Linked DNA regions of Coturnix japonica. The protein of the gene in region 1 purifies or fractionates together with the protein of each later gene. This does not show direct contact. Links are inferred from orthologs where the notes say so. Each region holds a gene or a part of one and is shown on either strand. Other genes may lie near its edges. The genes, in order: DDX41 and RNPS1.

Evidence for each region.
Region 2: the proteins of DDX41 (region 1) and RNPS1 purify together in Homo sapiens (co-immunoprecipitation; 3 studies listed by BioGRID and IntAct, with this or other methods). This does not show direct contact. The link is inferred for Coturnix japonica from reciprocal best matches to the Homo sapiens genes DDX41 and RNPS1.

What each region holds. Positions count from the first base shown.
Region 1 is NC_029528.1:11,995,188-11,999,092, reverse strand, and holds the start of DDX41 (probable ATP-dependent RNA helicase DDX41), read left to right. Parts: upstream 1-1,185; 5' UTR 1,186-1,285; coding exon 1,286-1,309; intron 1,310-1,388; coding exon 1,389-1,487; intron 1,488-1,560; coding exon 1,561-1,720; intron 1,721-1,802; coding exon 1,803-1,877; intron 1,878-2,097; coding exon 2,098-2,158; intron 2,159-2,771; coding exon 2,772-2,908; intron 2,909-3,135; coding exon 3,136-3,208; intron 3,209-3,378; coding exon 3,379-3,532; intron 3,533-3,636; coding exon 3,637-3,773; intron 3,774-3,905. Other genes in the region: protein FAM193B, read left to right, coding at 1-434, 615-690, 775-871. UniProt on the Homo sapiens protein: Multifunctional protein that participates in many aspects of cellular RNA metabolism. Plays pivotal roles in innate immune sensing and hematopoietic homeostasis.
Region 2 is NC_029529.1:12,010,488-12,014,392, reverse strand, and holds the start of RNPS1 (RNA-binding protein with serine-rich domain 1), read left to right. Parts: upstream 1-1,444; 5' UTR 1,445-1,627; coding exon 1,628-1,629; intron 1,630-3,905. UniProt on the Homo sapiens protein: Part of pre- and post-splicing multiprotein mRNP complexes. Auxiliary component of the splicing-dependent multiprotein exon junction complex (EJC) deposited at splice junction on mRNAs.

The DNA.
Region 1 (3,905 bases):
GGTGCAGGCAGGGGGCCGGCAGCGGAAGAACAAGCGGCAGAGCGGGCAGGTGAAGAAGGGGGATGGTGCTGTGGTGCTCAGCGGCCAGGCCAGGCTGGAGAACTCTGGTGTGAAGGGGCAGGTGCTGGGAACCAAGCACCCTTCGAAGCCCAGCACTGCAGAGCTGCAGCGGGCGGGTGGCTGCACTGAGGTGGAGAGTGGCAAGGGGCAACCCTGGGGCTGCAGCACTGCCAGAGCGGAGAAGGAGAAAAGCAACGATTGGAAAGGGAGGAGGGCTGAGGGCAAAGCTGAGCTGCCGGATCTGGTGCAGCTGCCCACCCCGGCCAATGGGGACCGGCAGCTGCCTCCCCCCGCTGCCCTGGGAGGATCCCCCCAGCCCAAGGGCAAGAGCAGGAAGAACCGCAACAAGGTGGAGAAACCCAATACCTCTATCGGTGAGTGCCAGCAGCTCCGCTCTGCACCTGTGGCCCTTCCCCAGCCCTTGTCCTGTCTGCTGCCAGGTCCTGCCCTGTTGTGTGTGGGGTCCCATCCCTGGCTCTGTCCTGCTGGTTGCAGTGGGTTTTAGGGCTGTTGCCATGTTGTGCTGACCCTGTGCTCTGTGCTCTGCTCTCCAGATGACGTGTTCCTGCCCAAGGACTTGGATGGTGCGGAGATGGACGAAACCGACCGGGAAGTGGAGTATTTCAAGAGGTGAGGAGGCACCTGGTGGTGTTGGGGCTGTGCTGGATGTTGTGGTTGCTGTCACTCACTGTCTCTCTGTTGTGTCCCGGGCAGGTTCTGTTTGGACTCTGCCAAGCAGACGCGGCAGAAGGTGGCTGTGAACTGGACCAACTTCACCCTGAAGAAAACCACTTCCAGCGCAGCGCAGTGAGGTTGCGGGGCCGCCCCCTCCCCATCCCCGCTCCGCTCCTCACTGTGCCCCGTCCCCCCCCGGGTGCCCCCGGTTCTCCTCTATGGGGTTCCTCGTTCGAACACCCCGGTGCTCTCCTGCCCCGCGGGGCCCCCGGGGCTCCCCCCCCATCCAGCTCCTGGTCCCGTCCCGCGGAGCAGCCCCGTGCTGGACCCAATAAAGAACTTTGTAATTTTTTATTTTATTTAACCCCGGCCTCTGCTGCTTTGTTCGCCGGGCGGTTCGCGTTGTGCTGAACGCGTTGTGTCGAACTTTGTCCTCTGTGGGGACCCGTAGGGCAGCTTCTCCCGCGCGGAACGGGCCGACGCCATACTTGTTATATGTCACTTCCGGCTCGCCCGTTTTACATCCGGGTCAGCGGGGCTCCCGGGAGCCATGGAGCCGGGCGCGGAGCGGAAGGTGCAGGCCCGGCCCAGCCCGGCCGCTGACGGCCAGCCCCGGCTCCGCCACCCCCCGCTCACTGTGTGTCCCCCAACAGAGGCAGCGCGAGGAGGCGGCCGATGGATCCGACATGTCGGGGGAGGACGACGAGGACTATGTGCCCTACGTGCCGGTGAAGCAGCGCAAGCAGCAGATGGTAACGGAATAACGGGGTGACGGGGGTCGGGTCCGTCCCGGTGCCGCTCACTCACCGCACGGTTCTCGTCCAGCTGCAGAAGCTGCTGCAGATGCGGCGCAAGGTGGTGGCGGAGGAGGAACAGCGCGACAGCGGCAGCGAACAGCGAGGGGACGAGGATGACATCCCGCTGGGACCGCAATCCAACATCAGCCTGTTGGACCAGCACCAGCACCTCAAGGAGAAGGCCGAGGGTACGGCCGGTATTGGGGGGGCTGAGCTGGGGGCTGGGAGCACCGCGACACTGTGGGGTTGTTTGTTGTTACCTCTGCACAGCACGGAAGGAGTCGGCCAAGGAGAAACAGCTGAAGGAGGAGGAGAAGATCCTGGAGAGCGTGGCAGAGGGACGAGGTGAGAGCTGCCATCACTGTGTGCTCTGTGGGGATGGAGGAGGAGGTGACAGTGAGCATCCTCTGTTAGCAGCCAGCTGCCTGGCTGCGCTGGGGCTGTGCAGCTGCAGGCACCGAGCTCCAACAAGCTGTACCACATGTACTGCCTTGCTCTACTTGCTCTGCTCTCTGTGGGCATGGAGTCAGAGCTTGCACTGATCTTATTGGCTTTGTTTTTGCAGCTTTGATGTCAGTGAAGGAGATGGCGAAAGGCATTACATATGATGATCCGATTAAAACCAGGTGCGCTTTGCAGCGTGGGGGCTGTTTTTCCCAAAATATCACTTCCTTACAGCCGGCAGCAGCTGGGGGCCATACAGCCTGGGAGGAAAGAACTGCTCTGTGAGGCCATACAGCCTGGGCTGTATGTGAGTATGTGAGGCCATACTTCCTTGGCTTCCTGACTGCTTGCTACTCTATGTAAATTAAAAGACTGTGGAGTCACTTTGGATCTTATTACCCATGCAATAAGATTTATGTATGCATCTATGTAAAATGTGAAGGCTTGAGCTCAGTCTTCAGACAAAGAGAACAAGACTGGGAGAGCTCAGGGAGTTTGAGACGGTACCATGGAAATAACAAAGATGGGTCTAAATGATGTTGGCATGTTTTACCCATTATCTGTAGGCTGCTGTTGTCTATTGTATTGATGCTTCATACTTGGACCTTGGGGAGATGTTTGTTGTGTATGACTGGCTTGTGTCTGCTCATGTGCTCATGAAACCCCTTGAGGTCAATGTTTTCCTCTGTGGGATTTCAGAGCCCATTACGGAATTCTCATCTTCCTTTATTGGGTTTGCTGGCTCTGGAGCTCTGGAATGTTTTACACTCTGAACTTCCTCTGTTGATTTCTTAGCTGGAGAGCACCTCGTTACATCCTGGCCATGTCAGAGGCTCGGCACGATCGCGTGCGTAAGAAGTACCACATCCTTGTAGAGGGAGAAGGCATCCCACCTCCCATCAAGAGCTTCAAGGAGATGAAGTTTCCAGCAGGTGGGACCGAGGGTGGATTTTTCTGGGGAGACTCATGTCCAGCAGTGAGTGAAGCTGTTGGATCTGTAATGATCTGTTAGCAGTGTCCCAGCTTAAATTCACAACAGGGATTGTATCAGGTGGTTGCTGACCCAAGGGTCATTGCTCACTGGTCAGAGGGCTGTGGCTGAGAAATGAATTAGAGGGAAAGCAGGTTGTGAGTATGTGTATCCCGTGCTCTTTAACAGCGATCCTGAGGGGACTGAAGAAAAAAGGAATCCAGCAGCCAACACCTATACAGATTCAAGGCATCCCCACAATGTGAGTACTTTGTCCACGTCCCAGATTTAGGCAGTGTTTTTTTTGCTTCCAGCCCCACCCAGTAGCACCAACTGTGTGTTTCCCTCCACCCTCATTCACCCTGCTCAGATCTGGTGCACTGAGCCCTCCTTGTAATGCTCCTGCCCACCACTGGCCTGTTTCTCTGATAGCCTCTCAGGAAGGGATATGATTGGCATTGCCTTCACTGGTTCTGGGAAGACTTTGGTGTTCACCCTTCCAGTTATCATGTTCTGCCTGGAGCAAGAGAAAAGACTGCCATTCTCTAAGCGAGAGGGACCCTATGGACTCATCATCTGTCCTTCTGTGAGTTCTTGTGGGCACAGAGCGTGGGAGGAAGCTCACTGATGTTCAGTGACAGTTTCAGGTGCTCCCTGTGTGGAGAATTGAGGTGTTTTTTCTCTCTGCAGCGAGAGCTGGCCCGGCAGACCCATGGCATCATTGAGTACTACTGTCGCCTGCTGCAGGAAGACAGTCTGCCCCCACTGCGCTGTGCCCTCTGCATTGGGGGAATGTCTGTTAAGGAGCAGATGGAGACAATTAAACAGTGAGAACTTGTGGGGAGGGTCCTGTGGGGCTGAAACCTGGCTCTTTATTTCTAGCAGGGGACTGAGGGGTGGCACGTTAGCTGGGTGGCTGTGGGGAGGTATGGGGTGGAGCTGACGTGCCAGTTGGCTGT
Region 2 (3,905 bases), on another chromosome or scaffold:
ATCTCACAGTTGACAGCCATTCCAGCCAGCAATGGGGGAAGGAAAAAAGCTGAAGTGGACAAATAGTGAGGATTTCCTCGGGATTCATCTAGAATGGATGCAGATGAGCAGCATAAAGGTGCTGGAAATAGCCTCTAAGCAGACAATGGCTGCCAGGGTCGCCCTGTGAGTGGTGCTGCCCTTCCAGGCAGACTCCTGGCAGCACACACAGCCTGCAGCTCCTGTAGCTCTGCCCCAGCTCACCCAGTCTTCCTAAGGCCCAACATTTAATCCTAAGGGTGGGAAGCGTGTCCTCACTGGGGCTGCAAACTCCAGCCTGAATACTTCACCTTGCCCCTCGGATGAGCACATAACCCCTCACCCAAGCAGCAAATGCCTGACATCTCTCAGCCTACAAGGGACAGGCCAGCAGCCCTGAAAGCGCTTTGCTGGAAGCAGCACGGAAGTCTCCAGCTTCAGGAGGGCAGTGCATGTTAGACTTGCTTGCGGAAGTAGCTTTAGAAGCAGCACACGCAGCAGCCTGCGCTGTAGAAGTAGCAGTAAAATGAAAAGATCCTGTGAACACAGGGAGGAGCTCAGAGATGCCTCTGCTGCAGCACATACACGGCTGAGCACAGCTCAGCACAGCTGGGTGCTGGCACAGGCTGGGGACAGCCAACAACCTCACACCTCCCATGGCCATCCAGGCACCGGCAGTTGGGTACCCTGGCCTTGCTTCAGGGTGCCTGGAAGTCTTCCCAAGGCAGCCTCCAGCAGCACGTGTCTGTGTGCACAGCAGAGTCAGCCCGTTCCTTGTATGAACCATGCGTGATCGGAGCAAAACCAATAAACACTGAGCTCTTAGTGCCTCCTGCCTGCTGGAACTGCTGACCTGAGCCTCTGTGCTTCACCTCCCCACGTCCCCTCCCACTCATTCCATGTCCCTGGTGGCACCTTGGCCGCCTCCACGCAGCCTTGGCTGCGCACAGTGCCCATGTCACCAGTGGGACGTGGTGCAGTGTCTGTCACCTCAGCCATGATGTGGAATTACCAACAGCAACAAGTACAAAACCACGACACCCCCCAAAGCAGTGGGAGCTCAAAGCTTTCCCCTCGTGCTGTGGCCCATTAAACATCATTAACTATGAGCGTAAATCCGCTTCTCCCACCCCAGTGTCATCCCCAGAAGCGCTGGCACTTGGTCTGCTGTCCCATGCAGCATCTCAGCTGAACCTCCATCTGTTGTATTCTCTGGGGGGCTGGTGGCCATTCCAAAGCTGCACCCACACCCACTGAGATCTTATTTCCTTTAAGAGCCAGTTCAGCCCTTGCTGTGCTCTGCTGGAGCAATAGGGAAAGGCTCACGTCCAGCTGCTGACACTGAGAGCCAGCTATGCATTGGGAAGGTCACCATTCGTCAGGAGCCATCACGGACATGATGAGGCGGACATGGCGGTGCCCATAACGGCACGGGCCGCCCACAGACCGTGACAGCAGGACAACATGGATCCCCTGCCCGGCCCCTTTAAGGCGCCCACCTCCCCTCCTCCCCCCTGGTGACGTCATCACTGCTCGCCACACGTTCGCTCTTCCCGCTCGTTCTGCGCCAATCGCGCGCGCCGGGCCCGGAGCGCTGAGAGCGCCGAGGATGTGAGTGTGTTGGGGCTGAGCGCCGTGCGGCCATCGGCCGCCATCGGCCTTTCATCCGCCTCCATCCGCCTCCATCCGCCCCGCCGCCGCTTCGGGGCGGCACCGCCGCATCTCGGGGCTGCCCAGGGGAGCGGGCGGGAGCCGACGGAGGGGATATGGATGGACGCGGGGGATAGGGATGGCGCCGCGGCCTACCGGGGGCGGGGAGGAAGGCGGGAGGCCGGGCCGGGGCGGAGCCGGGGCTGAGGCCTGCAGCGGAGTTGGGGCCTGGTGGTCCCGGCGCCCGGCAGCGGCAGAGCAGCGAGTCGGGAGCGACCCGCGGGTCTCGCTGTGCCCGGCGTCGTTCCGCAGCCTGAGAGCGGCTGAGCCCCGGCCGCTCTGGGCCCCGCGCTGCCATGAGCTGGGCCGGGGGCGTTGAGAGGAGCTGCCGAGCGGGCTGACCTTAAATCACGCGAGGAAAACTTTGCTATAGTTGTTGTTCATATAACTATAAACAAGCTGCCGTTGCAGGGCGCGCCTGCCCTGCAGGAAGGCTGAGGGAGAGCCCAGGTCGTTGCCTTGGCTGCAGCTCTCTGTAAGAATAGGTCTCATAGCTGACTGTGTGCAGGGAATGGGCAGCTTAATAGAGTGCCCCGAGGCCGGCTGGGCTGGGCTGGGTGCTGCACAGACACTGAGATGTTGGGGATGTCGGGTTTGGTTTCCATTCTTGGAAGGGTGGATGTTGCTTAGAAGTTCCTTGTGTTGTTTTAATGTGCTCATGCTGCGGTGTTATTCTTTATGGAGGTGTGTTTTAGTGAATGCCTGAGCACCTACAAGTGAAAGTGCCCAGAGGCTGCATCTCCCAGGCTGATCTTTCCAACTAAAACTGTCCTGGGAAAGGTCTGTGTTCATTGGGTGAAAGAAGAACACTGGTTACCTTAAGGGCTGCCTAAAAGCAGCCTTTCACAGGAGGTTGCTGGATGTGTAAGCAGCATTTGGCTGTTTAGTCTGGTAAGTGCCAGCCCTGTGGGTGCACACAGGAGTGCTGCTGATGGTGCTGTTTACATGCAGCTCTTCCCAGCTCTCCAGCAGCAGGCAGGACATTAGCAAAGCACTTGTTGGGCTTCTGAGCTCTCACTTCCCATCTTGCAGAGAGGTGGAACTGGGTGATCATTAGAGTATGTGATAGATGCAGCCCTCTCATAGGAAATGTTTGGAATTGAGCTGTCAGAGTTCAGGTTTTACATGTAAACAGTTAATAGTTACACATGCAGCACACTGGCACACACGTTCATTCTCTTCCAATAACTCATTAATGTATGTTCGTGTTCCTCTGGGCATGCACAGTTACACTGAGGGTGGTTGCTGGTTGTATGCCCACTTACTTTGTCCCCATTTTTCCACCATCAGTTCCATCACTGACATTTTTGATTCACCTGGAGCTGGTTTTCCCCAATTTTGCAAACGTCCATTGCTTCTTAGGCCATAATGGGCAACTTCCAAAACAACGTGTGTGGAAATCCAAGGAAAGCGTCCTTGCCCCTGGTGAAATACAATGACCAGTGGTCTGTCGTGACTCCAGTGCTGCTTATGAAGGGGAATTGAGAGAAAACAAGGCTGATCACACACCAGGCAAAGCAGAAGTGGAGAGTTTTAGGACTAGTGCTCATTGATTCCTTTTGCTGAATTAATATATTGCTCCTCAAACTAATATACTGATCTCTGTTGCTCAATGAACCAGCCTATATTGTTACTCAGCAGCCATCTCTTCCTGCCAAGCATGTGCTTTGCTGCACAGGGTGACTATGGAAGAAACCAGAGCTTCCTCTGGAGATGAGGATGTTGTCAAGAGGCAGGAGCTGCATGTGTGCCGTGTGTAGGAGATGAATGTCCTCTGTGTGCCTTCAAGGGGAGCACATAGCGAGGGTCTTTTGTACTTCTGTGAATATCACAATTTGTAACTTTAAACACGCATACAGGTCTGTATTCCATGAAGGTTGAGCTGGCCCAGGGGCTGGATGTAACTGCCATGCAGTGCTGTGCCTGGCTGCAGTGCCCTGGAGAACACACTTGTCCTCTGGTGTGCTGCCACTGGTGCACAGCAGCTCTGCTCTTCTGTGTCTGTTCATCTTGTTTCTGAACACTCTTACCTTGTCACTTGGCTGCTCTGTTGCTTTCAATTAGGGGTCACTTCTCAGAAGCAAGGGGTTAGAACTGAGATTTGGCACAAGTGAGGCCTGTTTTGCTTTGGATACCTCTGAAGGGGAAACAGAGTTAATGGGAATTAAAAAGAAGAG